Callithrix jacchus: one gene and its partner. The protein of the gene in region 1 purifies or fractionates together with the protein of each later gene. This does not show direct contact. Links are inferred from orthologs where the notes say so. Each region holds a gene or a part of one and is shown on either strand. Other genes may lie near its edges.

Region 1 (3,749 bases):
GGGCTCTGCCGGTGACCTGTCTCCCATGTACTCCAGCTTCCATTCCTCGCCCTGCCCCCAGCCGACCCTGTATCAGCCTTTTAACCTCACACACTTTTCCACAGTTGTGTTCAATAAAGTGCACATGTTCCTGGAAAAAAAAAGAAAAAGAAAAAATAGACCAATGGGTATCCATCAAGAATAATTTGAATAAACAGTCAAATATCATTTTAAACTATGGTAGTGGTCAGTTTCATATTATTGTATCCTTTTCGGAAATTTTGTGTATCCTTTTAATTTTTAAAAAAAATAATTGTATGTTCTTGCGTTTGTTTCAATTATATACATTAAATTGCTTAAACACTGCTGTGTGCACTGTTTTTAACTGATAGTTGTTTTCCTTTGGATGCCAGAAAACGTTAATGCTTGGTAAGTTTAAAACACTAAAAAAAAAAAATGAGTTCTTTCTTATTGAGAAGCACCCACCTAATTAGTAAATGCTTATTTCTGCGTTCCACTCTCAGAGATCCTTTTTTTTTTTTTTTAATGTTTGAAGTTGGAGACGTACGTTTTCAGCCAGTACCCAAAGTGATTGTGAGGCCTGGTGGCCCAAAGACATACCTTGAGAACGACTCGAAGCAATGCTATTTTCATGTTTTGCAGCTTTCAAAATGCTAACTTCAGAAATCGAAGGAGGGTGGGTAACTCGAAAGACTGTCAGAATACCCGAGAGTGAGCCGCTCACGCAGTGCCGGGTTGCACAACTTTCCTTTACTTTGCAGATCTCTCCCTGGGGCGGAAATCATTTCATTTTCACCAAGCAATTAACCATCTTCCAACCAGTTCCGTCTACGTCCCTCATGATGACCCCCAAAAGTCACCAGCTCATCCCCGCGGCGGAAGATAAAGCGCTGTTTGCCCTGCGTGCCCTCGCAGGGTCGCGGGGCCGCGGGAACCTGGGTTCGCTTCCCGCCACCCGGGCTCCTCCTCTCCAGGCCCTGTCGGGTCGGGTCCTCCCCGAGGCGCCCAGCGCGGCAGGTCTTGGCGCCAACCGGGTGGCGGCGCTGTCCGCCCTGCGCGCGGCCGCTTCGGGCCCGAGGGAGGCGGATGCACGGCCGGCGGAGGAAGGGGAGGGAGCGAGGAGCGCGCACTGCTCTCGCGTGCTCTCGCGCCACTCGCGTGACCGGCCGGTGTGTGCGCGAGGCGCCGGCTCCCGGGGCACGGACTGCCGGGCGCGCGCCACTGCGAGGGGCGTCCGGGTCCGAGTCGGCTACCCGGGCCGGCGCGAGGTGCGGGCGGGCGGGCTGCGGGGGTCCCGAGCGGACACACGCACACAGGCTCCCGGAGGAGCCTTCTCGGAGGCTGCTCTTCCTCGGCCAGACGGAGAGCGGCACTGTCTCCCCGCCCAGCGCTCACTCGCCCCGCGTCTCCCCCCGCGGCGGCTGCTCCTCGGCACCGCCAGCCCCAGCGCCGCTCCCGGGCGGGCGGGTGGCGGCGGCGGGACCCGCGGAGCCGCTTTGTGTGCAACCCGACGAGGGGCGGCGGCGCAACCACCTGACAGAGGCCCGGGCGCTCGATGCACCTTCCGCCCGCATGAGGAGGAGGTAAAGGCGGCGGCGGCGGCTCGGCTCCCGCCCTCGGCTGCTGGAGGGAGGGGACGGAAGGAGAGACAGAGGGGGGGCCGTGGGTCCGAGGCCCGGTGGGGCCGCCCGGGGGTGCGGGGAAGGCCTCGGCGGTGCCGGCGGCGCCAAGCGGCAGGGAGCCAGAGAAGCCGTTGGGGTCCCTCAGCCGAAGTTGAAGGAACAAAATGTGAAGTGCGGAGCCGCGTCAGCCGCTTCCTGGCGTGGGGCTGGGGGTGGAGGGCGGCTTGTTTTCCCCTCCCGCGGGGGTGAGGGAGCGGAACCGAGGAGGGGCGGCAGCGCGGCGGGGACTGCCCGGAGTCCGAGGCTCGGCTGGGCAAGGGCGTTTTGTTCCCGGGAGCCGCCACTGCGCGTGGGTCCGCTCGGTCCCTAGTTTTGCGGCCTAAGCCGAGCCCTATAGGCCTCGCGTCTGCTTTCCTGGAGAGGACTAGTCGGGCGGGACTCGGCGCTTCCCTCCAGCCAAGTGGGGGCCTTGGGGTCCTTATCAACCTCCTGAGGCCGCCAAACTTCGGACCTTGGTGCTCGGGGGTGGATTTCATTGTGAAAGGGGGAAAGGTAAACTCCTGGCGCTGTTCGCTGTCTCCCGCGGCCGCGGCGGCTGGTACCGGGAAGCCCAGTGAGCCCCGGGCTGGCTGGGCCGGCGCTGGCGGGGTCCGAGCCCCGGGAAAAAGCGGGTGGTGGGGCCGCTGCCGGGTCCCCGGCCTCCGGGGAGAAAGAGCCTTTTCCAGATTAGAGAGATTTGAAATGAAAAAAGAGGTTAGAAAGTCGCCCCTTTCCCGCTGAACTTTGGTTTTCTGACCGATAGAGGCCGGTAGAGGACTGTGAACGAAAAGTTGTCCCCCAGGATGGACTTCACCGCGCAGCCCAAGCCTGCCACTGCCCTCTGTGGCGTCGTGAGTGCCGACGGGAAGATCGCTTACCCTCCGGGTGTAAAAGAGATCACCGACAAGATCACCACGGACGAGATGATCAAACGCCTGAAGGTAAGCGTCTGGACGGATTGTTCGCTCTCTGGATGTCTTGGTAGCAGGTGCTTTTTCCTGTGATATGGCTACTCTGCTCGGTCTGGCCTTTAGAGTTCCAAGTTTTTTAGATGTCTTACCTCCTCAGAAAGGTATTGTATCACTACTACGTCTTTGAGTAAGTTTTCTAGTGACATAACCATTGTGAGAAATTTTAAAAGAGTGTGATTTAAAAGAAAAAAGTACTGGTTTTCAAGCATAAGAATTTGTGTGTTTTTCGTTTTTTTCTGGAGATATTTAATGAGAATACTGTTCAGAGTGGCTTGCAAACCTAAATGTAGGCAGGAATTTGCCTAAGAAGTTTCCTAGTTTCAGCCTGTGAGGGGGATTGATTAAAGCACAAAGTCCTTTTTAAAAATTGGCATAATTTTCTAATATCCAGAAGCTTAAATATGTATATAGTGTGGTTAAACTTTGACAGTAGGTACAGACTTCTCAAAATTGAGGTTTAAAGTTAGATGTTTTAAATCTATACGTTCAAAGGAGTTTAAGAGTATTACGGCTCTTTTTATGAGGCGTCAGCTAATTTTGTTTAAGCATGGCAGTCCGAAGGTTAAGGTTTTAAATTTCAACCTTATGTTGGTTAGTTTTTTTGGTTTCTGTGTCACTGACATAGATCGTGGCCAGAATCTTACCAAATAAGTGATATTCTTGTAGGATCAGCTTGAAGCAGTGGTTTTCAGTCAGGGCAACTTTGACCTCCAGGAGATATTTGGCAATGGTGGAGACATTTTGGTTGTCATAATTGGTGCTAGATTGGAGTAGGGAATGATTTGAGTAAGAATAGACCAGAGGCAGTGAGTCCAGCTAGGAAACTAAACAGTAGTCTGGGTGAAAGACATTGAAATCTTTAGGCAGGGCTTTGGCATTGGTAATAGTGACTAGGAAATGATTTAACAGACTTTTCAGAGTTAGAATCAATCAGAATTGGTGGGAGGTAAGGGAAGGAATATTGTCAATGTTTCCACCTTGGGCAACTTGGCAAAATGTATTTTAGGGAATAATTTTGCCCTCTTGCTCTTGGAGCCCAGTAAATATATCTAATGTTGCATTTTAATGAGTATAGTATTTAAAATATTCCTACGGTTTAGCTTTCAAAACTAAGTTG
Region 2 (3,649 bases), on another chromosome or scaffold:
ATTCTTGTTTTAAATGGACTTTTCTAGCCCTCTTCTTCTGTACTTTATTTAGACTTGTTTTTCCATATCTGTATATAACTTCTATTCCACATTCTTTGTTCCCACACATATTTCATCACAATTAGGCTAATGCTGTCACCTCTGTGCAGGTAAAATTTCCAACTATGTCTCCAGTCCTGGTTCTATCTTATTACAGCAGCCTCTTCATGATATCTTTGTCCTAGTTCTTAATATCTGCCCTACTTCTCTGGCCTTTAGCCTAGAACAGTAATACATGAAGTTAACTTTCCCAAATCTCTGATTGCTTATTGTCTTTGGATATATGTGCAACTTTCTTATTACAGGAAGTCGGCCTTTTGCAAAGGCCCATTGCAGTCTTATTCTGATTTATCTGTTTTTAACCTCTTATTTTAGAGGATTTCAAATATAAATAGTGTAATAAGCTGTTATGTACACATTATCAGTCATGGCCAGTCTGGTTTTCATCTATAACCCCATCCATTCCCCCTCTTGTATTATTTGAAGCAAATCCAGATATTATCATTTCATCCATAAATACTTAAGTATACAATGTCTGAAAGAAAATGACTTTTAAAAAATATAACCCAATACTATTTTCATACTATTGATTATCTAGTTGCTTACTATTTTATGTTTAGTCAATATTCTAATTTTCAGTAATCTCAAATTTCTAGTCTCAATAGATTTCTTAATCTATAGGTTTTTTAAATCTCCTTTTTTTGTCTTGCATTTGTACATTTTTTTTTTGTCTTCCTCCAGAGCATTTGTGGACTTGATTGCATTTCTACATTTTGTATTTTTCAATGGTATATTTTGCTTTTATTTATTTATTTTTCTGAGATGGAGTCTCTGTCGCTCAGGCTGGAGTGCAGTGGCATGATCTCGGCCCACTACAATTTCCACCTCCTGGGTTCAAGCAATTCTGCCTCAGCCTCCTGAGTACCTGGGACAACAGGCATATGCACCACACCCAGCCAATTTTTGTATTTTTATTAGAGATGGGGTTTCACCATGTTGGCCAGGCTGGTCTCAAAGTCCTAACGTCAGGTAATGCCACCCTCCTCAGCCTTCCAGAGTGCTGGGATCATAGGCATACCTGGCCTATTTTATATATATATTTAGCATTCTTTTTTAAAAAATAGATACAATGTCTTGCTATGTTGCCCAGGCTGTTCTCAAACTCCTGGGCTCAAGTGATCCTCCCACGCTGACCTCCCAAAGTGTAGGGATTATAGGCATGAACTATGCCCTGCCTATATAGTTAGTGCTCTTACCACATGCATTCTGCTTGTTTGCTACCATGTTTTACCCTTTCTTACCAAAGATTATTGAAGTTAAATGTTTCTGATTTCATTTTCTTTTTTAAATTGACAAATAAAAATTGTATATGTTGTTTCTGATTTAAAAATATCTCTTATGTATACTTAATTCTCTCCAACAAGTGCCTTGTAAATGGAAGTATTTAATATGACACATTTTAGCTCTTTTGTTATGATTAGGAAGTTCAGACCAAATGTCTTGGAAGTGACGGTAGAGGTCAGAATTGTTTGTAAAAGAGCACTCATCTCTAGATTTTAAGCTTTTCAGCAGAAACCATGATCAATGCAGGGGTAGCATACAGAAAGATTAAATAACATATGCTGAACCTCCTTTTATCTTCAAAGCCCTAGTTTAGCTCAGTCTAAAAACAGTTGAGTTACCAATGGCAGTATGGTAATCCTGACAAGCATTCAATACCAGAAGTACAAATTATTTTAGGTTACACATGAGGAACACCTTCCTGACCAAAGGGTTGTAAAATATTAGGAAACCTTTACAGAATTTCCTCAGTATGTTTTAAAGGGCAACTAGGCCTAGATTAGATATGATTTTTTTAAGAATCTTGTATCATTTTACATAATGCATGAAGAATCAACTGACAGAGACCGCTTACTTGATTTGTATTAAACTTAAAAATAGTGGAGTTGGTGATTTAAACAGCATCTTTAGAAATACTAGACCCATTTAGGGATTATATTTCCTTGTTATTTTGGGTAGTATCTTGAGAATACTTGGATGTAGCTCATCCCCTTGGATAACTGGCAAGGAGACATGTCAGCTTGACCTTCAATTAAAAAATAATGATTATACTGTAACATTGATAGTTAAGATAATAATTATTTGCTCTAATGCATATGAAGTATTAATACTTGTCTTTACATTAACATTTGTTGTGTAATAATGGCAATAACATTTACTACCTCAGAAGTGTTCAACATTAGCTCTTAACCATTTTCCCTGTTTGAGAAAGGGTTGTGCTCTGTCTGACGAAGAGATCAATAACATGTGAGACAACTTGGAAATAAAGAGATTACTAGAGTAAATGTAGGTAGCACAGATAAAAACTTCTGCCATTAGTGTTTAATTTTTAACATTCCTTGGGTAGTTTTTTTAAGGTATCAGGTTTTTCCAAAATAAAGGGAAGTTTTATCTGATAGCCTTTAGGTTCAAGTAAATAGAAATAAGTTGTGTACCTATTATTTACTATAATAGTCTATATTTTATTTTCTCTTAAGAGCATTACAACATTGTGAAGAACTGATTCAGCAGTACAACCGCGCTGAGGACAGCATATGCTTAGCTGACAGTAAGCCTCTGCCTCACCAGAATGTAACTAACCATGTGGGCAAAGCAGTAGAGGACTGCATGAGGGCCATCATTGGGGTGTTGCTCAATTTAACTAATGATAATGGTAAGATTTTTTTCCATTTTTTTTCTCATTGAAAGATGTATGTTGCATGTGAAAACAAGTTATTTTTTTTTTTGTTTCTCCTTTTCTTGGTGTAGTGATTTTTTTTATTTGTCTTAATGTACTTATGTGTAGGTTTAAAAATCACTTTTAAGAGTTGGTATTTCTATAAGCCTAGTATCTTGACCTGGAAGTATCAACAGTATGTTTCAATAGAGGAATGACTATACAATCCTAAGTTAATATCCATGTTAATAAATCTGTTATTACTGTCCTAAGGCAGAATCAGTAACAATTTTCCTATATCCATTTCTTATTTCAGAGTGGGGCAGCACCAAAACAGGAGAGCAGGACGGTCTCATAGGCACAGCGTTAAACTGTGTGCTTCAGGTTCCAAAGTACCTACCTCAGGAGCAGAGATTTGATATTCGAGTGCTGGTAAGTTGAAATGACTTTTTCAGGAAGAGTATTGTATCTAGTAAGGTGTGCAAAATATTCACCTTAGTTTGGGTTTAAGAATCAACCCTTTAATATTGTGGTTGTTTTCATGAATTTCCTAATGAACATACTTCTTTTTTTGTTTTTTTTTGTTTTTTTTTTTGAGACGGATTCTCACCATCACCCAGGCTGGAGTGCAGTAGCACCATCTTGGCTCACTGCAACTTCTGCCTCCCTGCTTCAAGCGATTCTCCTGCCTCAGGCTTCCAGATGCTGGGACTACAGGCTTGTGCCACCACACCCAGCTAATTTTTGTATTTTTAGTACAGATGGGGTTTCGTCATGTTGCCCAGGCCGGTCTCAAACTCCTGGCCTCAGGTGATCTGCCCGTTCTAGCCTCCCAAAGTGCTGGGATTACAGGCATGAGCCACTGCGCCTGGCCTTTTTTTCCTTTTTGGTCTT

What was found. The genes of interacting proteins can lie anywhere in the genome.
Region 2: the proteins of PDS5A (region 1) and WAPL purify together in Homo sapiens (affinity purification with mass spectrometry; 6 studies listed by BioGRID and IntAct, with this or other methods). This does not show direct contact. The link is inferred for Callithrix jacchus from reciprocal best matches to the Homo sapiens genes PDS5A and WAPL.

Annotation. Positions count from the first base shown.
Region 1 is NC_133504.1:153,856,678-153,860,426, forward strand, and holds the start of PDS5A (sister chromatid cohesion protein PDS5 homolog A), read left to right. Parts: upstream 1-1,137; 5' UTR 1,138-1,249; coding exon of another isoform or gene 1,250-2,464; coding exon 2,465-2,602; coding exon of another isoform or gene 2,603-2,721; intron 2,722-3,749. Other genes in the region: uncharacterized protein LOC144581690, read right to left, coding at 1,250-2,721. UniProt on the Homo sapiens protein: Probable regulator of sister chromatid cohesion in mitosis which may stabilize cohesin complex association with chromatin. May couple sister chromatid cohesion during mitosis to DNA replication.
Region 2 is NC_133513.1:43,580,143-43,583,791, forward strand, and holds part of WAPL (wings apart-like protein homolog), read left to right. Parts: intron 1-2,576; coding exon 2,577-2,752; intron 2,753-3,071; coding exon 3,072-3,187; intron 3,188-3,649. UniProt on the Homo sapiens protein: Regulator of sister chromatid cohesion in mitosis which negatively regulates cohesin association with chromatin. Involved in both sister chromatid cohesion during interphase and sister-chromatid resolution during early stages of mitosis.